Lonchura striata: one gene and its partners. The main gene of each other region encodes a partner of the protein of the gene in region 3 in a complex. Links are inferred from orthologs where the notes say so. Each region holds a gene or a part of one and is shown on either strand. Other genes may lie near its edges. The genes, in order: MED18, MED19, MED1 and MED31.

Region 1 (5,289 bases), on a different chromosome or scaffold from region 3:
AATTCCAATGAAAATAATGGAAGACCATTAAAAGATGGGAAAAACCACTTGCAAATGTTAATATTACTAGATTTTCTTCTACTTCTAACTTCGGTTACATCATAAGAAACAGTTTCCCTAACAAGTACCTGTTCCTGTCACATAAGCTTTGGTGAAGAGGTGTACAGTTAGCTGCCCTTTTATGCAGCAGTTTCTGTGTTTATGCTTGTGTGAAACAGCATCTCCTGCATTAAACAGTATTAACTTCCTCTATTACTGAAAAGTTTTGGATGACTAAGTAGGATACACAAATTGTGCTTTAAAAATCTTAAGACAGCAGTGGGATCTGAGTACACGGAGGGATGAATTCCAGTAAGTCTGACATTTTTAGACTGTTAGGCAATAGGCTTTTAAAGTTATCTCCCATGCAAAAGAAAGAACACTATGGGTATTAACATTTACTGATTTTTTTAACAGTGCTAATTTGAAGTGTCCACTTCTGCTCATATTCACAAGTGAAAGAAAAAAACACTCAGGAATTGCAGCTGCCAAAACTGATACATAGTACTTTATTCCCTTCTCCCTGTTTTGATTTGCCCACAAAACGCTTTTTAGAAAAACATCATTTTCTGAAACACAAAACCAGTGCCTTAATGCCCCAGACTGTCAATCACATTAGTCTTTTGGGGTCAATTTTCTCCAGGTGTACTAGAGGCTTCAGCTGCTCAGCAAAGTTCCTCATGTCATCAGAAACAATGTCCTGCCCTGCTGGCGCAACGACATTGAGCTCCACCAAGTAGGAGAGGGAGAGCGGCTCGATGCTCTCTGTGTTTCCTGGCATCAGTATACGGAAGATCTTGTACACCATGATCTTCATGATGCCCTTGCGGAATACGTGCCCTTTGGCCACGAACTCGTGGTCCATGCGGAAGCCCATCTCCACCAGGAAGTCCGTCAGGTTGTCGGAGGTGGCGATGTCCACGCAGTTTCGCACCAGCGCGTGGCGGTTCTTGTCGCCTATTTCGGGCTGTCCCAGGTAGCGCAGGTGCCAGGGCATCCCGCTCTTGTCCATGGAGCGCCGGGCGCGCAGCACGAAGGGGCTGGCCTGCTGCCCCTTCAGCAGGAACACCATCTCGTGGTCCAGGAAGGTCTCGGGCTCCATGTTGTCGCACAGCCCGCGCAGCCGGTGCAGGAGGCTCTCCAGGCTCTGGTCCAGCACGCTCCCTGCGGAGACAGCGCCGCGACCGTCGCCTCGCACGGGCCGAGCTGGGCTCCGCACGCGGCGCGCCCGCCCCAGCGCCTTCCGGCCCGCCCGTGCGCGGCGCCAGCCCCCCACCCGCTGCTTGGTCCCGCCGCGCCTACCTTGGAGCAGGTACTCCATCATGTTGATGGTGCCGCCCGTGACGGGCATCATGGTCACCGGCGGCGCCTCCATCGCGCTGCGCTCCGGCCCCGCGGCCCCGCCGGCAGCGCCGCGCAGAGCGGCGGCAGCGCCCCCTAACGGCCCGGCGGGCGGGGGCGGCGCCGGCCCGCCCCGCTCCGCTCACACCGCCCCGCCCCGCTCCCCTCACACCGCCCCGCTCCGCTCACACCGCCCCGCTCCGCTCCCCTCACACCGCCCGGCCCCGCTCCGCTCACACCGCCCCGCCCCGCTCACACCGCCCCGCTCCGCTCCCCTCACACCGCCCGCCCCGCTCCGCTCACACCGCCCCGCTCCGCTCCGCTCACACCGCCCCGCTCCCCTCACACCGCCCCGCCCCGCTCACACCGCCCCGCCCCGCCCCGCTCCCCTCACACCGCCCCGCTCCCCTCACACCGCCCCGCTCCGCTCACACCGCCCCGCTCCGCTCACACCGCCCCGCTCCGCTCACACCGCCCCGCCCCGCTCCCCTCACACCGCCCCGCTCCGCTCACACCGCCCCGCTCCGCTCACACCGCCCCGCTCCCCTCACACCGCCCGGCTCCGCTCACACCGCCCCGCTCCCCTCACACCGCCCCGCTCCCCTCACACCGCCCCGCTCCGCTCACACCGCCCCGCTCCGCTCACACCGCCCCGCTCCCCTCACACCGCCCCGCTCCCCTCACACCGCCCCGCTCCGCTCACACCGCCCCGCCCCGCCCCGCTCCGCTCACACCGCCCCGCTCCGCTCACACCGCCCCGCCCCGCCCCGCTCCGCTCACACCGCCCCGCTCCGCTCACACCGCCCCGCTCCGCTCACACCGCCCCGCTCCCCTCACACCGCCCCGCTCCCCTCACACCGCCCCGCTCCGCTCACACCGCCCCGCCCCGCCCCGCTCCGCTCACACCGCCCCGCTCCGCTCACACCGCCCCGCCCCGCTCCGCTCACACCGCCCCGCTCTCCTCACACCGCCCGGGGGCCGAGCGCTGGAGCAGGCTGCCAGGGAGGTTGTGGAGTGTCCCTCTCTGGAGCCATTCAACACCTACCTGGATGTGTTCCTGTGTCAGCTGCTCTGCGTGACCCTGCCTCAGCAAGGGGGCTGGACTGGATGATCTGCAAAAGTCCCGTCCAGCCTTAACGATTCTGTGATGCCGTGTTTTTTCTTTTATTCTAGTTTGCCCAAAGCCGGGAATCAGGAGGTAACCCACGAAAGGCTGGCTCTGTGATCATCAAACCTCTACACTATTTATACCTTTTAACAAACCAAGGTGTCAGCATTTGTTAGCTGTAAGTTATACCACTTTTCTCCTAATTAGCACTCAAACCCTATTTTCTAGTTGTGTGTCTTGCTTCTCCATGAGAAGAGCCCTTTTGGTCTGCAGGCGTGGTTTTGCCTCCCTTGGGTCAGGGTGTGGTGGAATTGCCTTCCCTCAGTCAGCTCCTGGCATCCTGACTTCACTCCTGGCAGATCTCATCCAGAGAGTCCCTGCATCTTGGGATTCTCTTCTCTTTTCCTCAAAGCAAAAGACGAGCCAAGTATGCAACATTCACAGTGCGATTGCTTAATCATAACTGTTCAGCTACAGCTTCTGATTAACAACTGGAAAAAAAAAAATTGCAAAGTTTGGTTCAAATCTTGAGACCTCAAATCTTGAGGGCCCCAAATCTCAAAGGGCTTGCTGCCAGCCTGACCTCGGCGCCGGTGGCACAGCAGGAGGGTTGGGAGGCCAGCAGGCAGGACCAGCCATCAGGGGTCATTGTGGCTGCACCCACATCACTCCCCAGGGTGGCACATGCAATTAATTCTGTGGAAAATATCCACCAAAAATGATCCAATCTGTCTCACAGCGACAGCAAAGTGTCTGATGCTCTGGGGTGTTGTGGGCCAGGCTTCAGCTCCTGCAGCAGAAGGCAGAAATCTCATCTGGGCCTGGTAGGATGTACACCATTTCTATGCAGAAAAGCCCGTTTTCAGAAAGTGATGGAAATGCCCAGTATGTACCAGCTGAAATTACTCCTGTCAATACCCAAAACAGAGTTATAAATGTGACATTTCCCTTAGCAGTCTTTTGTGTAACAAACCTTTGTGCCACACAGAATGTGAACAGTATGTCCATTTTTCATGTATCAGTATCTACACAGTGGTGGTATCCCCTGACACCCCCCATAAAAATTATATAAATACTGGTACAAGCCAAAGACCTGCAAATGAGAAATGGCATAGTCATGCCCTCCCAGTGCAGTCATGGTTAATTTTATCCTGACGTTCCAGCTTGTGAAAGTGTGGACTGACCTTGTAGAATTCTCCTCCAGGAGGATAAACTGAGTAAGGAAGAAATTATTTCTTGTGAGGGTGCTGAGATGCTGGAACTTGGAAGTTATGGCTGGACCATGACTGGAAGTGTTCAAGGTCAGGTTAGATGGGGCTTTGAGCAACCTGACCTTATGTTTCTGGTGAAGGATAAAGAAAGAGGTGATTTTTTTCCATTCTGCAACTGCTGCCTGGTATGAGCTGGAGGACAAAGGAAAGGAAAGCTGCAAGGAGGAGAAAGGAAACATGACTGGCTTCTGTTGACACTCAGGTTCTGTCTGGTGCACTGTGTCCATGGGAGAGGCCTCCAGGAGAGGAAGAAAACTGCATCAGGTCTGTTTCACTGAGTGTCATCAGACCACACAACAGGAAGGGTGTCAGGAAGGAACATGTCAGGTACATCAGGCTGATGCCTTTTTTAGCCTGTGGACTTGGTAATGTTAGGTTTAGAGTTGGACTCAATGATTCTAAAATTCTCTTCCAACTTAAACAATTCTGCAATTCTCTGGTGTAGTGAAGGTGTGCCTGCCAGCAGTAGGGGGGTTGGAAATTAATGCTCTTTTAAGTCCCTTCCAACCCATATTCTTCTCTGATGCTAAGAGCTGATGTTTACTTGGCTGTTGTGGATCTCACTTCTTGTGGGTATTGGTGCCAAGATCCAGATTTTCTATTTTTATACAGGCTGTGGCTGGGATGAAAGTAGTTGTCTCCATAGCAGCCTGTATGAGGCTGTGTTCTGGATTTGTGACTAAGAACATTGGTTACACAGCAGTACTTTAGCTGTTGCTGAGGAGGGGTTGCCAGCATCAAGGTTTTATTTTTGTCCTTTTTCTCCTGCATTCACTGCCAGTGAGTAGGCTAGAGGCAAGTAAGAGGCTCTGAAGGAACAAAGGGAGTCACATCTGATCCCAGCTGACCACACCAATATTCCATACCAGACTGCATTCTGCCCAGCACCAAAAGCTCTGGGAAGAAGATGAGAAAGTGGGGACATTCATGGTTATGGCATTTGTTTTCCCAAATAACTATTAGTGTGCCAAAGCTCTTCTTGCTGATAGGGAATTGTGAATAAATTCTTTATTTTGCTTTCTGGGTGTGGCTTCACTTTACCTCCTAAGCAGTCTCCATCTGAATCTATGTCTTCTCATTTTTGCCTTTACTCTTTCCTGTCCTACGTGAGTGGGGGCAAACAACAATAAGGTTGTTTACCTACCTACCATATTTGTCTAGAAGGCCTGAATCCTAGTGGGAATGGAATGGGAGCAACCTGGGGCTAAAGCTTTGCTTAAGAGCAGACTGAAGTAAAGCTGGTGGTTAAGATAGGATGCTAAGTAGTTTTGTGTTATGTAATACAAAAGCCTTGGAGCACTGAAGTGAGGTCAGCTTTGGAAGCAGGCCTCCCCCATTCCACAGGGTGTAAGCAAGGTGAGCCTGGGGCAGCAGTCATCCCCAGGCAGGATGACAAAGTATGGAACTGTCAGTGCTAGGGGGGTCACTGGATGCAGTGTCACCACTCTGCAGGGCAAGGTGGACCTGACAAGAACATGAACTTGCCCTGAGGCAAGACAGGATCCCAAACCATCGTCTTTTTTCAGCAGG
Region 2 (7,284 bases), on a different chromosome or scaffold from region 3:
CTCCTGGGAAAGACTGGGGTGAGCAGGAAGGGCTGCAGGGCAGTAACAGCCACTGTTTCTTTGCAGGCGAGGCAGTGGTGGCCCACTGCAGTGTTCTCTCCGTCTGCAGCCCCTTCTTCATGGAGCAGCTGGGCCGGGAGCTGCCCCCCCAGGGTTGCAGGGTGGCGCTGAAGCTGGCGGGGCTGAAGATTGGGGTGCTGCGCAAGCTGGTGCGCTTCTTCTACACTGCCGAGCTGGAGGTCACGCAGGAGGAGGTGCACGAGGTGCTGGCAGCTGCCCGCCGCCTCCGTGTCACCGAGCTCGAGTCACTGCAGCTCTGGGGAGGACGCCTGGTGAGACTGAGACCCCAGCGGCAGCTCGACCGCTCCTGCCTGCATTCCACTCAGGAAGTCTCCACCGTGGGGGCACCTGACTCAGCTGAGCCTGGCAGTGCCAGCTCTGCGGTGTCCCCCCAGAGGCAGCCACACTCTCTGGGGCACTCACACCCCAGCCCCATCGGGCGGATGAGGCTGCGGAAGGTGCAGCACTGGGGGCACTGGGAGGTGGTGCAGGAGGCCGTGCCTCCGGCAGTGATGGTGGGGGATGTGGGGGTGACAGAAGCACAGCCCCCCCAGAATGTGGATGCACGGGAGCAGGTGAGCAAGTGCTCCCCAACCCAGCAGTCCCCCAGTGAAAATGGGATGCAGCAGCATGGGGACTCCCCTGTGTCCTCGCAGGGCTGCCAGCAGGCAGTGCTCCCAGGAACTCCTGGAAGTGACACCAAGGAGGAAGAGGTGGATGTGGGAACAGGGGAACTATTCCTGCCCCCTGGCACAGTGTGCCTCTGGCCCAGTCCCTCATCTGAGTCAGAAGAGGAGGTGGATGTCCTCACCTAGAGGGGGCTGGCTCTGCCTCTCCCCCCACCAGTGCCTGTACCCCTTGGGCTGCATGTCCTTGGAATAAAGGGCTGAAGCTGTGCTGTGGAGTACTAAACTTTATTGGAGATTGGGGGGACAACGGGGTGTGGAGGGAGCCAGGGGTCTGGCAGTGGCAGAGCTGCAACATCAGGGACGGGACTGGGGCAGGTGGATGCCCCCACTTGGTCTCGCCTCTTCATGGACGCTCATGCCGTCTGTGCCGATCCTGGCTTGGCTGTGGAGAGAGGGAAGTCGGTCCCTGTTGGTCCCATCCCTGCCCTATCCCATCCCAGTCCCATCCCCGCTCACCTGGCCAACACCTCTATGCCAAGCTGCTCTTCAGGGCTTCCACTACTGTCTCCGGCTGGGGAAACTTCAGCTTGCGGGGGGGCCCCTTCCCGATACCGCTCCACAGCTCCACGGCTGCAGAGGTAAGGGAGATTATGGGATCAAGGGTGCCGGGGAGCCCCCCGCCCCCCTGCCCAGCACTTACTGCTGCCGTCCTCCTTCACCAGGGACACCTCGAAGCTGTTCCTGCGCGGCGGCCGGGGGTTGATGTCCACGGGGAGGTGCGCCATGGCCCCGCGCAGGGCCGCGCTCACCGCCGCCGCGTTCCGCCCGAACACGCGTCAGCTCTTGCTGCGGGGACACGGCGGTCAGCGACCCCGGGGCACCCAGGGGCCTCACACCGCCCTCGGCGCCTCGGCCGCTCACCAGTGCTCGATGACGACACGGGGGCCGATGTCCCCGGGGCTGCACTCGTCTTGGGCTTGGGCCTGGGCCCGCGCCCGCTTCTGCGGAGCTCCCGCTGTCTCCGGTGCCTCGGCCGCCGCCGGCTGCTGGGCTCCGCGCTTCCTCCCGCGGGGAGCCATCCTGGGACAGCCGAGGCGGTGGAGCCTACGCCGGCTGCAGGAATGCCACTCCGGGGTGAGAAGGGAGCTCAGGTACCACGCTGTCCGGGGAGTGAAAAGTGGGTCCCTGTGGGGACACTACTGTGGGAGAGGGCCCGGATGGGCCAGTCCCCGGCGATGCGCCACGGGGGAAATGAGGGCCCCCGCCGGGATCCCGCTGCGGAGGGCGGGAGGCGGCTCCGCAGGGATCCCGCCGCGGTGTGCGGCTGGGGGGAGCAGGGCGGCGGGGCCCGGGGCAGCAGCGGCGCTCCTACCGGCCGCTGGCCACGTGCGGGAGCGCGCGCCGCCGGGGCGGGGCCGGAACGGGCGGGGCCGAGGAGGGCACCGGAGCCTCCGGTGGGCTCCGGTTCCGCCCGCGCCGCGCCGGCCAATCAGAGCGCGCCGGCTCCGCACGGCCCCGCCCCCATGCGCGGGCCCGGGCCGGGGACACGGACACGGACACGGACACGGGTCACGGGACACGGCACGGACCGTTTATTGTCAGCGATGGATGATGAGCGAGCGTTAACCGAGGCGGGGCCCCTCCTACCGCCCTGCCCGCACGGGGCCGGGGGGCACCGCCGCTTTCCCGGGGCTCAGCCGGGACAAGTCCGCACGGAGAGCGGCTCCGGGCGGGGCTGGGCAGGCCCGCGGGGCCGCTGCCACCAGGCTGATGGTGACATAGTGATGGGCGACAGTACAGGGCAGCTTCTACTTGTCCTTCTTGGTCTCCTGAGCTGCAGCGGGCACGGCTGGGGGCTCCTCAGGTCCCTCCTCCCGCGGCTTCGACTGCTTCTTGGCCTTCTGGTAGAGCTCGTTGAGGTTGAACTCCCGGATCACATTCTCCTGTGGCCAGGAGGTAGCATCAGCACCACTGGGACCTCGTGCTCCCCCCTTCTTCCCAGGCACAGGCTGGACAGAACAGAGGGCTGCAGGGTCCCACCCACCTCAGAGAAGGTCCAGGACACAGCCCGGCCCTTCTTGTCGATCTGCGGTCGCCGCATGATCTCTGTCCCACCCTGGAAGAGGATGAGGGTGGGCAGCTGCTTGGTGAGAGGCGAGGTGCTGACCTTGTACCTGTGTCAGGACAAGCCCACAGTGACCCTCGGGCAGCTTGAGAGGGCAGGAGGGTCACAGGGACTACCCCAGAGCGAGCCTTGCTTGCCCAGGCTGCGTTCCCCACACCTGGTGCTGACGTCCGTGTACCGGCCAACATCCACCTTCCCAAACTGGAGTCCTGAGCAGTTGTACCTGGGCAGGATGGGGACACAGGGCAGTGAGGGACACAGGGGACCACAGGCCCCGTTACCCCCAAGATTCCAGTGGGTGCCACTCACTTGAGAGAGAGGTCGGCGAAGATGGGGGCAAAGGACTGGCACTCACTGGACCAGTTGGCAAAGAACTCAACAATCCACGTCACCCGCTTGTCCCTCTCCAACTCCTCCTGCCACAGGGGCATGGGCTTAGGGGGGCGAGGGCAGAGACCACCAAAAGCCCCAGGGCTGGGGAGATACTCACATCGATGGTCTTGTCACTGAAGTACTTGATGTATTCGGGGCCCATGTAAAGGGGTGGCTTGCAGGTCATCAGGAACACTGGAATGACAGCACCCTGAGCCCCCCAGTGCCAGGAGGGCCAGGCTGGGCCTGGGACAGAGCTCCTCCACCCCAGAGCAGTAAGGGGGAGCCAGGAGAAGGCGGATCTAGGGCAAGAAGACATGCAGGCTCACCTATGCAGAGAGTGAGGTAGAGCAGCCCCATGCGGATGTCAAGGCGGAAGAACAGGATGGCGTTGGCCACTTTGCTGAACATGAAAATATTCCCGATGTGCTGCTCCACGGTGACTGTGATGTGGAGACAGGAATAAGGCATGGGACCAGATGCCCCCAGAAGGCTGGGGGAAACTTCAGGGAGGGCTGGATCTGGTCCTCCAGACACCACCCCGTGCTCCTTGAAGGAGACCCCATAAGCAGCCCCAGCCCCCCAAGTCCCCCTGACTCACTGGAGCGCCGGTTCTTCATCATGACAATGGCGCTGAGGAACATGAGGATCTCCACCTCCCTCTGGCACAAAGAAGGGACAGCATGAGCTGGAAGTGCCCAGGACACCTTGAAGCCATGCCTGGCCTGGCACAGGGACCCGTGGCCGTGCCAGGCCCTACTGTTCCCAAGGCCCTGCCACAGCCCAGAGCCTTCATCCCCCCCGGGATGAGAACAGCGAGCAGAGGGGCTGCCCTGGGGCCACGAGCCGGACCAGAGCCTGGGGGTGCCTCTCGGCTGTAAGGGAACACCGCAGAGCATCGCCAGGGGCTACCGGGCAACTCCTCTCTCAGCCAGGCCGGGGTGCTGTGTGAGCAGGAGGGGAGCCAAGCCAGGGCCGGGGCTGTGGGGACAGGACCGGGGACAGCCCAGGGATGCGGGGACAGGCCCGGGGACAGGCCGCACCGCCTCACCCAGTCAAAGTCACAAGGGTTGCCATCCTCCCGCTGCGAGGGGAGCCCGCGGCAGAGCGGCGGGACCTTGCGCACAATCAGGAAAGCGGCGGCGAGCAGCGCGGAGAGCGGGTAGTAGGGCTGGGCGAGCCATCGGCAGAGCCCGGGCAGCCCCCAGAGCAGCGCCAGCAGCGGCGCCACCACCGCCATCTTCCCTCCGCCCCGCTCACTGCCGGGGGCGGGGCCTCCCGCGCCGGCCAATGGCGAGCGGCGAGGCGGGCGCTCCCGCGCGCGCGGACCAATGAGAGGAGAGAGGGGAGCGGCCAATCAGAAGGCTGGGATGGGTCTCCCTTAGCAACGGGGGGCAGGGGCGGTGTGGGGGCGGCGCTCGGCCAATGGCGGGGCGGGGCGGCCCGGCGCGGGGCACGCCGGGAACATGGAGAACTTCTCGGCGCTGTTCGGCGCGGCCGAGCCGCCGCCCGCCGCCGCCGCCGCGCTCGGATTCGGGCCCGCCAAGGCGCCGGGTGCCGGAACCGCGCCGCCGCCCGCTGCCTCGGCCGCCGCGCCGCCGCCGGGCGAAGACGCGGCCCGCAAGGCCGCCGGCGGCCCCTTCTACCTGCTGCGAGAGCTGCCAGGTGCGGGCGGGCCGCGGGGCGGGGCGGGTGCCGCGCTCGGCCAATCAGCGCGGCGAAACGCGGCCGCGGGGGAAACTGACGGCGCCAGGAGCCAATGAGGTTGCGGGGGCGGGGCCGCGCAACGCGCGGTCCGGTGGGGAAGTGGGCGGCGGGGGCGCCCCGGGGCCGGGGGTCCCGGTGCTCGGGGGCTGCAGGGGGTCCCGGAGCCTCGGCTCGGCTGGGGAGAGGGGCCTGGGCTGCCGTCGGGGCGTTTCCCCCGCGCCAAGTTTTCCTGCGGCCGCACAGGCACTACGGAGCTGACGGGCAGCACCAACTTGATCACACACTATAACCTGGAGCACGCCTACAACAAGTTCTGCGGCAAGAAGGTGAAGGAGAAGCTCAGTAACTTCCTCCCCGACCTGCCCGGCATGATCGACCTGCCCGGCTCCCACGACAGCAGCAGCCTGCGCTCGCTCATCGAGAAGCCGCCCATCTGCGGCAGCTCCTTCACGCCGCTCACGGGTGCCATGCTGACCGGTTTCCGCCTGCACGCCGGCCCGGTGAGCCCCGGGCTATGGAGCCGGAGGGGCGGGAGGGGCCCGGCGTGGTCTGACCAGTCCTTTTTCTCCACAGCTGCCCGAGCAGTGCCGGCTGATGCACATCCAGCCGCCTAAGAAGAAGAACAAGCACAAGCACAAACAGAGCCGCACGCAGGACCCCGTCCCCCCAGGTAAGGCTGCCACAGCCGCTCCCCTGCTCCCCTTCAGCACTGGCAGAGCATCGGCTCATCTGGCGCTTCTGCTTCTCCAGAAACCCCCTCAGACTCCGACCACAAGAAGAAAAAGAAGAAAAAAGAGGAGGATCCAGAGCGGAAGAGGAAGAAGAAAGAGAAGAAGAAAAAGAAGGTGAGTGGCAAGGCCGGGGTGCAGTGCCCAGCCCGTGGACCTCGGAGGGGCGCTGTGAGTTGCCATCCCCAAGGGGCTGCTGCCCAGCAGCTCTCACAGTTTCTGTCTGTCCTTCCTCTGCAGAACCGGCACAGCCCGGAGCACCCTGGGGTGGGCAGCTCCCAGGCCAGCAGCAGCTTACGGTGAAACCACGCCGGTGACGCCCTGGGGATCCCCTGGCCCATGGGAACAGCCCCGGCTGACCCCAGGGACACTGGGGCTGGCCTGTCCCCCCGGCTAAGAGGACACCCCTGCAGCCCCCCAGCACCAGGGGCACAGACTCTGTGGGTGCTGACCTTGAGCTTTTGTACCTGAAGAACCTGGAGCATCAAAGCCTCTTTTTTAGTCACCTTTTAAACTCTGCTGTGAGGAGGGGCTGGTGGCCATGGCTGCTGTGACCCTTAGCTGTCACAGTGGAGCCCCAAACAAAGGTGTCCCTGGAACGTGCAGGTGCCCTCCTTTGGATCCGAAACCTCACCAGCACCCACGATACTTTCCCTGGAGCCTCTTTTCCCATGCCTGGAAAATCCTTACCTTCTGTGGGAGCAGAGTTTGCCTCAAGTTGGAGCCCCCCCAGAACTGGGCCAGGCTCAGCTCTTACCAGACCCCCTTCTCTCTCTCCCTCGGGAGGGGGGGCAAGGCTGAAACCCTGAGGATCAGGAGCCTTGGAGGGGCTGCTCCATCCCTGGACACCAAACAAAGCACACGCACAGCCCCGGGGTGGCTCATTAAATATCCTTTTATTCCTTGTTTTTAAAATGGCTGATAATAATAAAAAACCCTGGCGTGGCTGTGTGGGGCCACGGGAGCTATTGCCGTAGAGAAAGAGTCCGGTAGTGCCGGCAGGGCTTTGGGGACAGGGAGCACAAGGCTCCTTGGCTGTGTTTTTTTGGCATGTGATGAGAAAATATTGCTTTCCGGGGATGCACCTGCCTCTTCCCCGAGCGAGCGGAAATAAAAACACCCCTGCGACAGCGAGAAACCTCCTCGGAATCATTAACAGAAACAAAAAAAGGCAACAAAACCAACAACCCCCCCGACCACAGCACCTGGGGAAAGAAAGAGCAAAAACTGCGGGTGGGGGACACTGGGGCTTCTGCACCAGCTTGGGATGGGGGTGTGGGGTGCTGTCCCCACCTTACCTCCACCCTGGGCCCCCCAGGGGGGCTGGAGGCTGTGGACACCATGGATCAGGGAGGGGAGTGTCCGAGGATGGGTATCTGGCACCCAATGGCCCCCTTCAGGGACGAACAGTGACACCCAGCACCTACCACAGCTCCTTCCATGGGTGCAGGAGGCAGCCCCACGTCCCTCCTTTGGGGACAGGGACAAGGTGGGGGGCCCAGGCCCTGAGCAGGGTAGTTTCTTCCTCTCTCTGGGTAAGATATATAATTTCTGCTTCTTTTTTTTTCTTTTAATATTTATATTTATATATATAGATATTTATATATACACACACCTGGTAACTCGGAAAGAGAAAAAAAATAGAATCCGTAACAATAATAAT
Region 3 (6,908 bases):
TTTACTCTTTCCCTGGCACTGAACACTAATTAGGGAACGGAAAGGCACATCAGGCTGGGCAGGTTTGGACATCCCTCCCTCCCCTGCACCACTCAGGAGAGAGTGAAGCCACAGTGCTGTGGTTTGACATGAGAAAAAGAATCTTTTCAGCAGGAAGAAGTTGATGTAGTCAGGGGTCAGGTGTAAATATTGACACTTAGAATAACCAACTGAAAGTAGACATGCTCTTAATATAGAGGGGTTAAAGGCTCTAGAGGAAAATGGGGGGGACTGTAGCCCCAAAATTAAACACTAGACTGTTGTTCCTCTTGGTCCTTGGCAAAGCATCCTCAAAGGAGCCCAATGAGCAGTCTCTGTCCATGCACGGTGGTGAGAGCACAGTGACAAAAAGAGGAGTGTCACACTGGCAGATTCTCTCCAGGCAGTGCCACGTGTGACACAGAAACACAAGAGGTGGCAGCTGTGTTTCCTGGGGGTCTGTAGTGCAAGGGAGACTCCTCTGTCCCCTCTTAGACTCAGTATTGATTATATATTAAAAGGTAAATACTTCATTAAGAGTCCAAATGTGTGTCACTGTAGTTTATTAAAGTTAGATAGTAAGAAGAGGAATGTTTTGAAAGGTTTTAATTTCAAATTTTATGTGTGCTTTTCTTTTTTTTCTTTTATACTAATATAGCAGTAGTAGCTTAATAAAGCTTTTTTTTCCTTTTTGTTATTAAGCTTCGCCTGCTTTATTCTCAATCACATTTCACAGCATCCAATTAAGAAGCTGCATTTTCACGGGGATACCAGCATCAAACCATGACACATGGACACAACAAAAAACACCTGGAAAAGGTCTAAAAACCCAAGAGAAATCCTTCAGCAGAGGAGCTGCAGCTCAGAGCCCAGCAATGCTCACCATGACCTGTCTGACCAACTTGATGGTTTCTGTCCAGGGCCGGTTCTGGCTGTACTTGGCGTGGAGCCTCTCCAGGAGGGAGCTCATCTTGTTCAGCTTCTCTGCCTCTGTCACACAGGAACACAGTGAGCCAACTTTGGTAAGTTCTGCAAACCACTTAAACAACACAAAACTTTCCACCTTTAAGCTGAAAATGACTTCAAAGAATTTGCTAACTGCTGGTTTAACCCCAGAGCTTGAGGTGAGGTTAAGTGTTACGGAATCTCCCAGGCTGTTAAAACTAAAGGACTGTGAAAATCTTATGGATTTTCCTGGAAAATGCTCAGCTCCTGTTCTGCACCATCCCTGAGTGATGTGGCCTCAGCAGGTTCAGTTCTGTCAGGAGAGGATCCCCAGAAACTGAGGCTGTGGGAAACACGGGGTTAAAGCAGTGAGGTGGGTTTTGTGTCCTGGATCCCCTCTCTGGTCTCTCTCCCCCAACTTCTTGAAAGGTCCTCAACACCTTCCACCATCAAAAACCTCAGCCAAGTCATTCCAGCTGCCAGTTCTGCCAAATTCTGTGCTCAGACACGTTCCTGCCCCACAGCAGGACATGGGGAAGCGGCTGGAGCTGTGCCAGGGGGGTTCAGGTTGGATTTTGGGAAGTTTTTTCCCCCCCTCAGAGGGTGCTCAGGCAGTGGAACAGTTCCCCTGGGAATGGGCACAGCCCCAAGAGCTCCAGGAGGGTTTGGACAACGCTCTCAGGGATTTTTGGGGTGCCTGTGCAGGGCCAGGAGTTGGACTGATGATTCCTGGATTTTGGGAATTTTTATCCCCTCCCAGAGGGTGCTCAGGCACTGGAACAGCTCCCCAGGGAATGGGCACAGCCCCGAGGCTGCCAGAGCTCCAGGAATGTTTGGATATCACTCTCAGAGACAGGGTGGGATTTTTGGGGTGCCTGTGCAGGGCCAGGAATTGGGTTGATGATTCCTGTAGAGCCCAGAGCCCCAGGAATGTTTGGACATTGCTCTCAGAGACAGGGTGGGATTTTTGGGGTGCCTGTGCAGGGATGGGAGCTGGGCTTTGATGGTCCTGGGGGTCCCTTCCAGCTCAGGACATCCCATGGCTCCACAATCAGCTCCAAGCTGAGGGCTGCTGTCCCCTTGTGCTGCTCCATGTGCTGGGGGGGATGAAGCAGTGGATGAGTGATAAAGAGAACATGGTTCTCATGAACACTGAAATCCAGTGTTTTATTGCCAAGAGACAGAGCTTTTCATACTTTCACGTCAAAAAAACCATCCCAGTGGACGTCATTCCAGAATAAACCCTGTCCCCAGCCCCAGAGGGTCCAGTGCAGACATGACATTTTAGTGTCACCTCACAGGAGCCTGTGACTTCCACCTGCCAAAATTCCACAGTTTGGGCTCCTGATTGATGCTCTGCTAGCCCACAGACCTCACATTGAGCCCTCCAAACCCAAGTGTAAGGAAGGAATGAATGAATGCTGGGTGTTCTGGAGCCTCCTGCTCTGCACACATTGCAAACCCACCTGTGTCCCCTGCTCCAGCTGACCCTGCCTTGGCAGAGGGGTTGAACTGGATCATCTCCAGGGGTCCCTTCCAACCCCAGCTACTCCGGGATTTGTTTTCAGGCACTTTACACCTCTCAGCTGCATCAACACAGGATGCTGCAGGTGGGAAGGGACCCCTGCAGCTCACCTGGTCCAAGCCCCTCCTCAACCAACACTGAGTTGTCCAGAATCCCATGAGAGAGCTGGAAGGGATCTCTGCAGATCACCCAGCCAGGCAGGGTCACCTGGAATGTGCCCAGAGACCACTCACCCTCCCTGGACACCCTCCTGGAAAGAAGCTCTTCGTCATGCCGAGGTGGAACTTGCTGTGTTTTATTTTCCGGCCGTTTCTCCTCGTCCTGCCGCTGAGCAGAGTCTGAACAGGGCTCTGACAGCCCCTAGCGATATCTGCCCGGACTGATAGCATCCTCATCCTCCTCTCCTCCACAGCAACCAGGCCCAGCTCCCTCCACCTCCGCACAGAGACTCCCCACACCTCAAACCACCTTTGTGACCCTCGCCCGTTTCACTTTCCGGGCCGCCACCTCAACCTCAACCCGAATGCGGAGCCTCGGATCCGCCGGGCCGCCCTCCTTCCCTCACGGAGAACCGGGAACCCCCGCGCCCCTCGCGCCGCACTCACCCTCGGCGCTGCCGGGCGCGGCCTTCATATTGCAAACGCGGGGCTGGTCTGGACTGGAGAGAGGGAGCGGAGAGGGAGCGGGAGCGGCGGCGGCGGCCGGGCCGCCCTCGCCCTCACACGGCGGCGGCCGCCGCCATCGCTGCGCCCGCGGCCGCGCTCCCGCGCTCTCGCGAGACTCCGCGGGAGCGGGGCGGGGCTCGGCGGCCAGCGCGCCCCGCCCCCTCAGCGCCCTGGAAGCGCGGCGGCCGCTCCGCAGCCCCTAACGGAGCATTAACCGCTCGTTAGCCGGCGGTGCGCCGGGGAGGGCTCGGCAGCCACCCGCCGGCGGCTTTAGGGCGCGGCGCGGCGGAGCGGGAGAGCGGCGGGAAAGGGCGGGGCGGAAGCGGCGGCGCCGCCGCCATGGGAGCTTTGTTGCGGGCCGGGCGCTAGGGGGCGCTGTCCCCGCCCCGCGCCCCGATTAAAGTTCGCTGGGAAGGAGCCGCCGCGCGATTTGGCGGCTCTCGCGAGAGGACGAGCGCGCGGGCCCCGCCCATCCCCCGAGAGGACTCGCGGACGAGGAGGACTCGCCGGGGAGGGAAGGAGGGAGGGGTGGCGGCGGCGGAGTTGTCGCGAGAGTTGCGGGCGGGTCTCGCGAGAGTTGGCGGCGCCCCCCGGACGGCGCCGCTCCGGTTCGGGCAGAGCGCGGGGGCCGCGCCGGGGGCGGCGGCGGCTCCGGGGCCCCTTCGGCCGGGGATCCGCGCCCAGGCCCCGCCACCGCCGCTGAGGCCGCGGGCAGCGCTCCGGGCCCCGCCTTCCCGGGGCGGCCGCGCTGCCCGCCGGGCCTGGGCCCCCCTCGGATGAGGCGGTGAGGCCGCGGCGCTTCCCCCTCCCCTCCCGGCTCCTTCCCCCCCCCCCGCCCCGGCCCGTCCCTCCCGCCGCCTCCGGGGCTCGGGCCCCGCTCCCCGTGTGAGGAGGGAGCAGCGAGGCCGGCGTGGATGGTGCGAGGGGCGGGCGCGGAGGGAGTTTGAAGTTGGGGGTTTCCGCCGAGTCCGCCCCTCGCCGTTCCCGAGCGCAGCGGGGGAGGAATGCCAAACCCGGAGAGGCATGGGGGCAAGAAGGACGGCGGCGGGGCGTGCTCGCAGCCGGGCGGCGGCGGCTCCAACAGCAAGGAGAGGCACCGGGCGGGCTCCAGGCACAAGAGGCACAAGTCCAGGCACTCCAAGGAGTCCCCGCTGGCGGCCCAGGAAGCGGCGGCGCCCCTGGGAGCGGTGATCAAGCCGCTGGTGGAGTACGATGACATCAGCTCGGACTCGGACACCTTCTCGGACGATGTGGGCCTCAAGCTGGACAGGAGGGACAACGACGAGAGGAGGGCGGAGAGGAGCGAGAGGGCCCAGAAGCACCGGCACCACCAGCACAAGCGGCTCCGGGAGCTGATGAAGAGCAAACAGGCGGAGAAGGACAGGAAGTTGGAAAAGAGCCTGGATGCTTCCAGCAGGTCCGCCAAGGAGAGGATCTCGGGATCCTCCAAGAGGCTCCTGGAGAGCGAGGAGCACCCCAAGGCGCTCTCCTCCTCCAAGAGCAGCAACAAGGAATCGCGCTCGGCCAAGGCGCACAAGGAGAAATCCAGGAAGGAGCGGGAGCTCAAGTCCAGCCACAAAGAGCGCAGCAAAAGCCATCGCAAAAGGGATGCTCCCAAAAGTTACAAAACCATCGACAGCCCCAAGAGGAAATCCAGGAGCCCTCACAGGAAATGGTCGGACAGCCCAAAACTGGACGACAGCCCTTCGGGAGCTTCCTACGTGCAGGAATACGACCTCAGCCCGCCCCGCTCGCACACCTCCAGCACCTACGATCCCTACAGGAAAAGCCCCGGCGGATCCTCACGCCGCCAATCCCTCAGCCCGCCCTACAAGGAGCCCGTGGGTTACCAGTCCAACGCCCGCTCGCCCAGCCCTTACAGCCGGCGGCAGCGATCCGTGAGCCCCTACGGCCGGAGGCGCTCGTCCAGCTACGAGCGGGGCAGCGGCTCCTACAGCGGGAGGTCCCCGAGCCCCTACGGGCGCCGCCGCTCCAGCAGCCCCTTCGCCTCCAAGCGCTCCGTCAGCCGCAGCCCCATCGCCAGGTGCGTGTGCCCCGCCTCGCCCCGGGAGCTGGGAGGGAGTTCGGGAGAGTTTGGAGTGATGGGATACAGGGGGGGATGGGTTCAGGTTGATGGAGGGTGGGTTTAAGGTGGGATATTGGGGAAAAAATTGTTCCCTGCTGCGCTTGCCTGAGGAAGTTGTGGATGCTCCATCCATGGTGTTGTCCAAGGTTGGATAGGGCTTGGAGCAAGCTGGGCTAGAGGAAGGTGTTCCTACCCATGGGATGCTCTTCAGGGCGTTTTCCAACCCAAACCACTCCGTGATTCCGTGATTCCTCCCCATTGCTGCCCAGTGCCGTGTGTGGAGTTGGCTTTGGCTGGGAGCTTTGACCGTTCCCTTTGGAAATGGGGCTGACACTTTGGGAACCGCCTCTGTGCCTGGCGGGAGGCAGCGTCCATGTTGGCTGCGGGCAGGGAGGGAGGCTGGAGGAGCTGCTGGGATTAAGTTACACCCACCTCTGGAGTGGCCCCTTCGTGGGGAGGCTCCCGGAGCAGGATCTAAGGCGCTTACCTGCTGGGAACTTCAGCCACGGGGAATGTTTTCACCTATTTCTGGAAGCCTTTATCTGTTTACTGCGTGTGGGAGCGTGATCCTGCTTTTCAGGAGGGCTCGTTTGGGGTGGATTTTGCTCTTCCTGAACTGGTTTGTCTTTTCTTTCCCCTTGGATTAGAGGCAGCCACGTGCAAACTCCATCTCTCAGCCTAAACTTTCTTTTCTCAGCACTAGAGTTTCTTCCCTTCTGAAATGTGGGCAGGCTGGAAGGGCGAGGAGCAACCAGCTGGATTTTGGCTTATCTCTAATTTTCTCTCCCCTTTTACTCAGTAACTTTGCTCCAGAAGGAAACAATTATTTCAAGGTAGCTCTGTGCGTTTTATTTCAGGTGTTCATTAATCATCCTGTGACATAGTCTAATGTTGATCTTTTCTTTCTCTAGCCCTGGCTTAACGTTCAGTGAGTTTCCAGTTGTCTCCATGGATGCTGTGGAGCTTTGCTTGGAGCTCCATGGCAATTCAGATGTGACCTGGAATGCAATGGCCATAGGAATGCTCTGCTCCCTGGTTGCTGTGCTGCATCCTGCAGCTCAGCAGTTCCCAAAGCACACGGGGCTTTTGGAATTTGGTCTTTGTTACTGCAGCTCTGAACTTCAGGAGTGCTGTCTTCCATGGAGAGCTCGCCTTTGTCCTTGCTGGCAGTTCTGTCTTGGTTTCAACCCCCCTGGAAGCTCTGACGTAAAATCTCTGTATTCCACTGTGATTTTTACAGTGAAAATTTCCTCCAGGCTGCTCCTCCTCTGGCCTGTTTTCTCTGTGTACACCTGGGAGGTTCTCAGGGATAGGCCTGGGTAGTTTTCTGCTCCTTCCCTTCAGTCCTTTTTGCCTGGTGGTGCTACTCTGACACGTTATTTGCTCACCCTTTGGAAGGGTGAGGAAGGTGCAAGGTGTCAGTTCACTGATACAACTCGGAGTTGTGGCGCTGAGGAAATGTCCAGCCCTGAGCAGGGAGAAGCCACTGGGAGCTGCAGAGCAATCCTAAGAGTTTTCTCCCCAGGAGAACCTCTCTGTGTAAGTGGCTGAGTAGAGAATTCAGAGTAGAGAATTCCAGCAGTTCCATTTCCCTGATTTATGGGAGCAACTTCAGAGCACTTTGTGCTGCTTCCCTAAACTTTCAGAGCAACTTTCTAAGGACATCTCC
Region 4 (7,669 bases), on a different chromosome or scaffold from region 3:
CATGGAGTGTAAAGAGACTTCAGAGCAGCCACTGCTTTACAGGCAGAGGCCAAGATGCAAGGAAGCTGAGTTTAATAGAACAGAGACAGCTACAGCTTGTTTCCTTCTCTATCCTGCAGAATTTATCAGCATTTATCTCTGCTCCACTCCCCAGACCTCACCCTGTACACTCCTGATTTCTATCCGTACAATGTGCTGTAAGGAAAACAAACTTCCATCAACAATGACTGCCAGGGTAACAGAAGTGACATGTAATAGCTCAGCTTGGTTTCAAGGAAAAACTGCACAGTTTTGACTTTGTCTATCATCACTTCACCTTTGCTTGTCCCAGAGCTGTAAGTAGCAGGGAGTTCTCTTAAGATACATCATTATTCTCCAGGGAAAAGGTTTCCTAGGAACAGCCTTTAGAGCTACACTTCTTTGTAGAGAGTTGGTAAGTGACAAATCTAGATTTTGTTTTCAAAATCAAGAGGAATCAATAACTATTGTAGTAAAGCTCTTACAAAATTGTCCATGCTGTAAAATAAATTGCAGGTGTTTATTAGTTTTTAAAGGAGTTGATGAAACAAAAACAACCCTAGTCATTTGATAAATTCAAATAAAAGGCACAGAGCCAGAGCCAAACTTGCACAAGGGTTCATTCACCTCCTGTAAATACTTCACTAACACAAAGTACACCTTATCATCACTACTCTGTGTGCTTTTCATTTTACAGAGGTGTTGTTTTGTTGCTGCTGCTCAGCCAGTGCCTGCTGGAGGCGCATCCTTTTCCGGGAATAGTGCTGCCAGTGGAGGATCTGTTGCTCATCAATAAATTTGGCACACTGAGCATTGACCAGCTCTTTGCGGAAATGTTCATACTGAAGCAGCTCTAGCATATGCAGACATTGAGGATACCTGGGTTAAAAATAACCACACTTTAATACAGGTTTTTACAAGGGACACTAAATCTAGAGTCTCCAGTACTTCTGTGGGTCGTTAGTTTTGACTCATATGTGCTTTACCCAAGTGTGAAACGACTTCAGCATGAACACTGTGACTTGGTAACTGCAGCATCAGGCCAGGAAACAAGACAACCAATTCCAGTAATAAATGCACATTCCTGCTTACTTACAGTAGCTTCCCCAATGGCTTGGTTTGATAGACCAAATCTATCCATCCATCCAACAGGCTTTACAAGGCCTCTTTCCAGAGCCCAATTAAAGATGACCAAAACCATTTTCCCAAAAACAGAAGGCATTAGCACACTTGCAAAAACACAAAAATCATCTTTTGTCTCATGCAAGCATCAATAATGCACAATTGATCTTAAAATGCACTTACTGCTTTTTTGCCCTAATGTTCAATAGTTTGATTTTAAACCAATCGAAAGTGCAGATTAAGGCTTTAAAGGAAGATTCTATGCAAAACTCATGAAATTTTTATAATTTTGCCTATTGCTGCTACATGTGGACTATTGGAAACAGGGGAATCTACATTGCATATAACCATATGCATAATCTATGTTGCAGGAAGGACAAAAGTAATGCTACAGGCAGAAATGAAATCCTATCATGCTGCTGTACAGTGTTCAAAATGAGGTCAATGGCAAACCATTAAAATGCAGAAACTTAAGGGAATTTAGTACTTACTTCAGGTATTTTGCATATTCAGGTTCTTTCCAATAAAGTAAATATTTAAGATAATTTACAAACGCTTTATCTTTGAAGTAGCCTCTTTGTGCAAGAACTGAAATGACAAGGAATTGACAGTTACAGATGGGTGCAAAATATCAGCCTACTTGAAAAAAAATCACAAAGTCAAAGCTTTCTCATTACAATCAAATTTCAATAATTTATATTTGGCAAATTAAAAAACCACAGGGCAAAATAAGATTTTTATGTCAAGAAAATAATAGATTGGCCTCATCTCCCTTATAGTTTGTATCTTTCATTGAATGGAACAGCTTTTTGAAACAAGAAAACTTTGACAGTAGCATCAAAATTAACAGAGTTATGCACAGTACCTAAAACTATTCACATTAGTAAAATTCTGTTTTCAGATAAAGGAATGCTGTTAACTTGACATTACTTTTTAATAACAGACTGGAACTTGTTATTTTCTTCCTCCATCAAATAAATGCCTTTTTTTTTTTTTCTTGCATTCCAACTAACAAAAGACTTTGCATTTTAAAAAAAAATCCACCTGTTAAACAAATAATTTACAGGTTAGTTTCATGCTGTGAAAACCCTTTTCTTTGTTTAGCCCTCTCTCCATATTCAACATTACCGGTAACAATAAACAGCATTGCACTATATTAACTCTTCCAGGTTGTGGTATTTACTTTAAGTACTCACAGTTGAGGTAATTTGGATTTGCCAGACATTGAACAAACTCCAGCTCCAACTGGAATCGAAGTCGATTTCCTGTATCATCTGATTCAAGACAAAACCAGTAAGAATTGGACCCACACAGACTGAAAGCATTCGCAGTCTGTACCGGGACCAAAGCGGGCTGGGGCGGGTGAGGGCCACGGCCGGCGGCAGCGAACGGCGCGGTGCGCGGGCCCGGCGCGGCCAGGGCGCACCCGGGACAGGCCCTGGGCTGCGGGCTCCGAGGGGAGCCGTGCGGCGCCCCGCTCGACCTGCGCCGGCCCGGCACGCCCGGCGCTCCGGGGGCCTGCCGGCTCCGAGCGGCGGCGACAGCGGCCCCACGGGGCTCCTCCCGGGCTCCTCCCCGGCTCCGCTCCCGGCCCCGCTCCCGGCCCCGCTCCCGGCCCCGCTCCCGGCTCCGCACGCTCCCGGCTCCGCTCCCGGCCCCGCACGCTCCCGGCCCCGCACGCTCCCGGCCCCGCACGCTCCCGGCCCCGCTCCCGGCCCCGCTCCCGGCCCCGCTCCCGGCCCCGCTCCCGGCCCCGCTCCGGCTCTGCCCGCTCCCGCACCTGCGTCCATGTCCGGGCGCACACACCCGACAGCGGCGAGCGCGCCCCCTACCTACGGCCCGGCGAAATGCAACGCTAGGCACGCTGGGAACGCAGCGGCCGTTGCCTAGCAACGGTGGGGGCGGGGCCATGGCGGGGGCGGGGCGCGTCGGGGGCGGGGCAATGGCGGGAGGGGCTGGGCTATGACCGGAGGGGCGGGGCAATGGCGGGAGGGGCGGGGCTATGACCGGAGGGGCGGGGCAATGGCGGGAGGGGCGGGGCTATGACCGGGAGGGGCGGGGCCATGGCGGGCGGGGCGGGGCCATGACGGGGCGCGGCGGCGCCGCTGTGTGCCGCAGCCACCGGTCCTGCGGAATTTCCCCGCCTGAGGGAAAAGGCCCAGTGCCACCCGCGCTGCTTGTGCCAGGGGACCCAGTGCGAGTCCAGAGTGCCATTCCTGGGACTCCAGCTCCACGGCTCTTCCCGAACATGAACGCGGGCAGAGTTTCGTCCGTGTGCCGCAGGGCCCAGTCAGTCCCAGAGCCAGCGAGTGTGGCTTTGCGGTCACTGTTCCAGGCATGTTCTTTCCCCAGATACCCCTTGAGCTGCGAAGGATAAAAAGAGGATGAAGTTTTGTTTGTATTTGCAGAACATTCATTTTAGCTTTGTACTACACAAAGCCACTGTTCATCCCTTCCAGAGCAAAAGGAAGTGGAGAGAATCAACTTTTAGAATCAACTAAAACACTAAACTGTATTTAAAGTTTAATGGTAAATACTGGATATTGGACAAAGTTGGGAACTTTGCAGGGCTTTTTTGTTTGTTTGTTTTTCGTAGTGACTTTACAGTCAGCCAAAGAGATTTCTGTCAACCTCTACGCTTAATTCTTCATTAATTAAAACACAGTTGTCTCAGAATAAAACCATTAACAAGCAAATGCTCCTTGAGTGAGCAGCAGCAGTGGAAGCAATCTCTACAGGCTTACCTGAAATCCTTCTAATTTTTCCTTTTTTTGTTGTTTTAATTATTTTCAATTTTAATTTGTTGAAGTATTTTTGGCATCCAACATAGCAATTTTCTATAATACTATATTTTCCTATGCAGTATGAATTTTCCCCTGGGAATTGCATTACAAAAACCATATAAAAAGGATTCATGCATAGTTTTTTTCTTAATAAAAAAGAGTTGCTTTCTTAGGCAACATTTTAGTGGTTGTGGAATACTACTATTACTATATTAAAACATAACAAGTCACTCCCCAGTAAACACAGACTTTGATCTAAAAGAAGAGATCAAAGAGATCCCACGTGTCTGCATTGCTATTCTAGAACAGGATTTCTTTCCCAAGAGTGACTTCAGAGGAGAGAATCCTAAAAAAGGATTGGTCACAAAAATAAATTACAATGTAGGTTTGCCCAAGTTAAGTTAAACATCTCAATTCTTGTCCATCAAAATTAGGAATAAAATTGAAAATCAGGATTTTAGTATAGGAGATTTTATAGTTTAAATATTTTATATAGGAGAACATTCTTGAAGAAAAGTTTGGGGTTTTTTTTGTTTGTTTAGTTTTGTTTTGTTTTTAAATGTCAGGTGAGCCAAACTTGCAGGACATGTGTCAATATAACTGTGAGCCAGAAATTTGTCTTATTGTCATAGAACAAGGATGACATTGCTGCCTCAGTTTCTCCTTTCATAGACTAGACTGCTGTCACTGCTGTTGCCTGCCCAGAAATGTGATGGTTTAGGACAGTAAGTTTATCTTAACTCATTAGAGCTGGCATAGAGACACAGCTCTTAAATTGAGCCACTTCTGGGACCTGAAGCCACCACGGTTTTATGAGACACAAGAGAAAATAAAGTCTCATTTGGCATGCTGTTGAATCTTGAAGGTAAACGCTGAGGAAGAGAAATGCTGCAAAAGATTCCTCTGTGACACCACTGTGCAGTGCATCTGCACCAGAGAGAAAAAAGCTCCATCAATTTCATCACTGAGAACTGATCAAGTGAGATGAAATAGGGAAATGTTTTACACCGGTGCATGAAACCCAAGACATCCCCTCTTGTTCACTCCCATTTACCCATTGCTTTGGAATAGAATGCAAACTGATACTAACATGGACATCTGACAGGATTTTACCCACAGAATGCAAGACAGCTTCTGTAGATGGAGAGCATCCTGCTTCAAATATGGTTAAATAACAGAGAGCAGAGTATGCATTATGTTATATATATAACAAGCCAGCACAAAGTCTGCAATTTTTTTACTCCAATGCTATAATTGTAATTCAATAGAAAGAAAATCATAGTTTTCAGTGACTAAAACAATTGTCAGAACATATTTAATTAAAGGCTTAACTCTTCACTAAGTTCACTTTTTTGAGGTCAAGAAACTGGCAGGTAATGTGCATTTCAGAAGGCCAATAACAGTCGTGTGCAACCACTTCATCCACAGATGCTAAATACCGTTCAGGCAAGCTGCAAACTGGATGAAATAGTGTAAAAAGACTGGTGTATTGAAGGCACTGGCACATATACTTCTGTGACTGTGGTACTCCTCCAGCTTCAGACAAACACTAGAATTTAAAGATAAATTAAAGATTAAATGTCATGTGTCAGAAAGCATTTTATGTTTTTCCATAATGAGTTGGTTAAAAATATGTGAGGGCTTCTATTAAGACACCTGGACAGCAGGAGAATTTGAAATCAGCCATTTGCCGGGAGTAATATACATTCCTATGTTTCTGATTTCTGACCATATAGCCAAGGCAAAATATTGAAGTAAAATAGAAATTTCCTCCAGAATAATAATTTCTTAGTTGAAAGGTTGTGTTAACTTTGTTTCTGGTGGAAATTTGATCTTCAGCTGGCTTTCTAAAATATTTGCTAAGACCCAACCCAAGTTATTGTTCTCAAAGAAAAGCTCACAAAGGAAACAACAATAAATTAGATTTAGTATATGGAACATTAAGTTTTTTCAGGAAAATGGTTTGTCTGTAAAAAAAGTTTTATGAACACTGTAATGAGGCTCACACTCACTGAAACAGCTTATGAAAACTCATTGAAGTGCCATGTGCCAAATAAGTCTGGGAAATAATTTTGTGTGGGTAAATAAAGCACTGAAGTAAACTGGGAAAGGATAACATCTTTTCTCTGACAGAAGAAACAGCCTCTTTCTTATGGCCAGCATCCACAGTAAATGTAAATCTACATTTACACCATAATGGGCAGCTATTGACTAAATGCTCTAGAAAAAATGGGGGGAAAATAGCTTCAGTATAGTCATCTCTATTTTTAAATAACTACCAAACATTGTATTTAGCAGTCCCAAATCACCTCAGGGCACCATGGTATGCCTACCTTTACTCTGTGCTCCCAGTGGTAAGGGCTGTACTTCCCTCAGAATTTCTGTGCCAAGCAGAGGCAGTCTGCAGTGCATGGCAAGCCCTCTCTGTGTCACAGACCCTTCACTCAGGGACAGGTACAGATACACAAAGGGGAAGGTCTGATCTGCCACTGAGGAGCTGCCACTGATACGGTTCTTCTGGGCACAGGAGAATCAGCACCCTGCCACTAAACCATGCAGGCAAATGCTGAGCCTGTCTGGCAGGAGACTGGTGGCCTTGTGGTGCAAGAAGTGTTGAAAACCTCTCAATAGCACAAAGAGATTGATCAGACTTGTCTAAAATCACACTTTTATTCACCCACACTGGAAAACATTGTGAAAACTCTGTCACTTGATCCAAGGGCTCAGGATTCATTACCACCCACTTCTTCACATATTTAGCACAGACAGGGGAAAAAAAAAAAAGATGTGAAGTATGTAAAAATGTATACAATATGTCACTAGTAGAAAGGAAGAGGAACCACTCCTGCATTTTGGCTAGGATTGATGCAGTGATCTAATTCTTTTTCTGGGCTGATTTTCACCAACTGTCCAATTCCAACTTTGTCAGCAAATGTTGGGTTTGGCTACAACCAGGTTATTGCTATTTCAAGTGGCAACACACCTGAGCTGGAAAACAGAGGCTGAATAAGCCAAACACTGAGTTCAAATGAGATCAGAACTCAACTGGAATGCACTACTTGCTGCTCTGAACTCAGTGGATGACACCAACAAATCTGACCACTCTTCATCTTGGGGACAAGTTCTAATCATGTAGAGAATGCTGAAAGGTTTTTCTTCTCTATTTCACAGATCTAGATGTTCAACGTGTGGGCAGGAAATACCTTTGTTATCTCTTTGTATGTTTTCTTGTAGTTTGGTAATTCATTAACTCATTCACAGTTGTGAGACCATTCCCAAGCACTAGTACACTGTGGGAACAAGTTTGCACACTAGTACATGATCAGTCAGGAACCCTGTGCAACCCTGTGCAGCCCAGATCACAATGCTGCAGGTTTGGGACACTCAGTATTTGCAGAAACAGCATTAGCAACTTGATATTTTGGTAAATTGGTATTTTGAGAGAAGAAAGGAAAAGCCAAGGTTCCATAGAAAGAGGGCAGAAAATAAGAAAGCATTAATTTAGCTCCTTAGAGGCCTTAGAGGTGGCACTGCTAGCTGTGCTGCCAGCTGGCCAGCTGACAGACTCACTGACCACAAGGAATCACACTCTGCCCTCATATGGTAAAATGGGAATAGTTTGCTCACTCAGGGTGGCTGAATAACCTGCCCTGACAAAGCCCACACTGAGGATACTCCCATGTTTTCTGTGGGTGCTGGGGGTGCGTGCTTTAAAGTGAGGGGCAAACAGATTATTTTATGCCACT

The links.
Region 1: MED1 (region 3) and MED18 share a complex: the UniProt entries of both Homo sapiens proteins name them as parts of the mediator complex. The link is inferred for Lonchura striata from reciprocal best matches to the Homo sapiens genes MED1 and MED18.
Region 2: MED1 (region 3) and MED19 share a complex: the UniProt entries of both Homo sapiens proteins name them as parts of the mediator complex. The link is inferred for Lonchura striata from reciprocal best matches to the Homo sapiens genes MED1 and MED19.
Region 4: MED1 (region 3) and MED31 share a complex: the UniProt entries of both Homo sapiens proteins name them as parts of the mediator complex. The link is inferred for Lonchura striata from reciprocal best matches to the Homo sapiens genes MED1 and MED31.

Annotation. Positions count from the first base shown.
Region 1 is NC_134642.1:13,964,577-13,969,865, forward strand, and holds MED18 (mediator of RNA polymerase II transcription subunit 18), read right to left. Parts: upstream 1,456-5,289; 5' UTR 1,415-1,455; coding exon 1,342-1,414; intron 1,204-1,341; coding exon 650-1,203; 3' UTR 526-649; downstream 1-525. UniProt on the Homo sapiens protein: Component of the Mediator complex, a coactivator involved in the regulated transcription of nearly all RNA polymerase II-dependent genes.
Region 2 is NC_134608.1:53,110,889-53,118,172, forward strand, and holds MED19 (mediator of RNA polymerase II transcription subunit 19), read left to right. Parts: upstream 1-4,652; coding exon 4,653-4,851; intron 4,852-5,136; coding exon 5,137-5,393; intron 5,394-5,466; coding exon 5,467-5,563; intron 5,564-5,643; coding exon 5,644-5,738; intron 5,739-5,861; coding exon 5,862-5,924; 3' UTR 5,925-6,759; downstream 6,760-7,284. Other genes in the region: TMX2 (thioredoxin-related transmembrane protein 2), read right to left, coding at 2,498-2,632, 2,734-2,863, 2,972-3,037, 3,124-3,230, 3,305-3,381, 3,516-3,629, 3,788-3,848, 4,238-4,426. UniProt on the Homo sapiens protein: Component of the Mediator complex, a coactivator involved in the regulated transcription of nearly all RNA polymerase II-dependent genes.
Region 3 is NC_134627.1:7,131,728-7,138,635, forward strand, and holds the start of MED1 (mediator of RNA polymerase II transcription subunit 1), read right to left. Parts: upstream 3,015-6,908; 5' UTR 2,647-3,014; coding exon 2,430-2,646; intron 1,009-2,429; coding exon 902-1,008; intron 1-901. Other genes in the region: CDK12 (cyclin-dependent kinase 12), read left to right, coding at 4,158-5,197. UniProt on the Homo sapiens protein: Component of the Mediator complex, a coactivator involved in the regulated transcription of nearly all RNA polymerase II-dependent genes.
Region 4 is NC_134622.1:11,673,535-11,681,203, reverse strand, and holds MED31 (mediator of RNA polymerase II transcription subunit 31), read right to left. Parts: upstream 3,021-7,669; 5' UTR 2,931-3,020; coding exon 2,921-2,930; intron 2,415-2,920; coding exon 2,337-2,414; intron 1,729-2,336; coding exon 1,632-1,728; intron 898-1,631; coding exon 705-897; 3' UTR 515-704; downstream 1-514. UniProt on the Homo sapiens protein: Component of the Mediator complex, a coactivator involved in the regulated transcription of nearly all RNA polymerase II-dependent genes.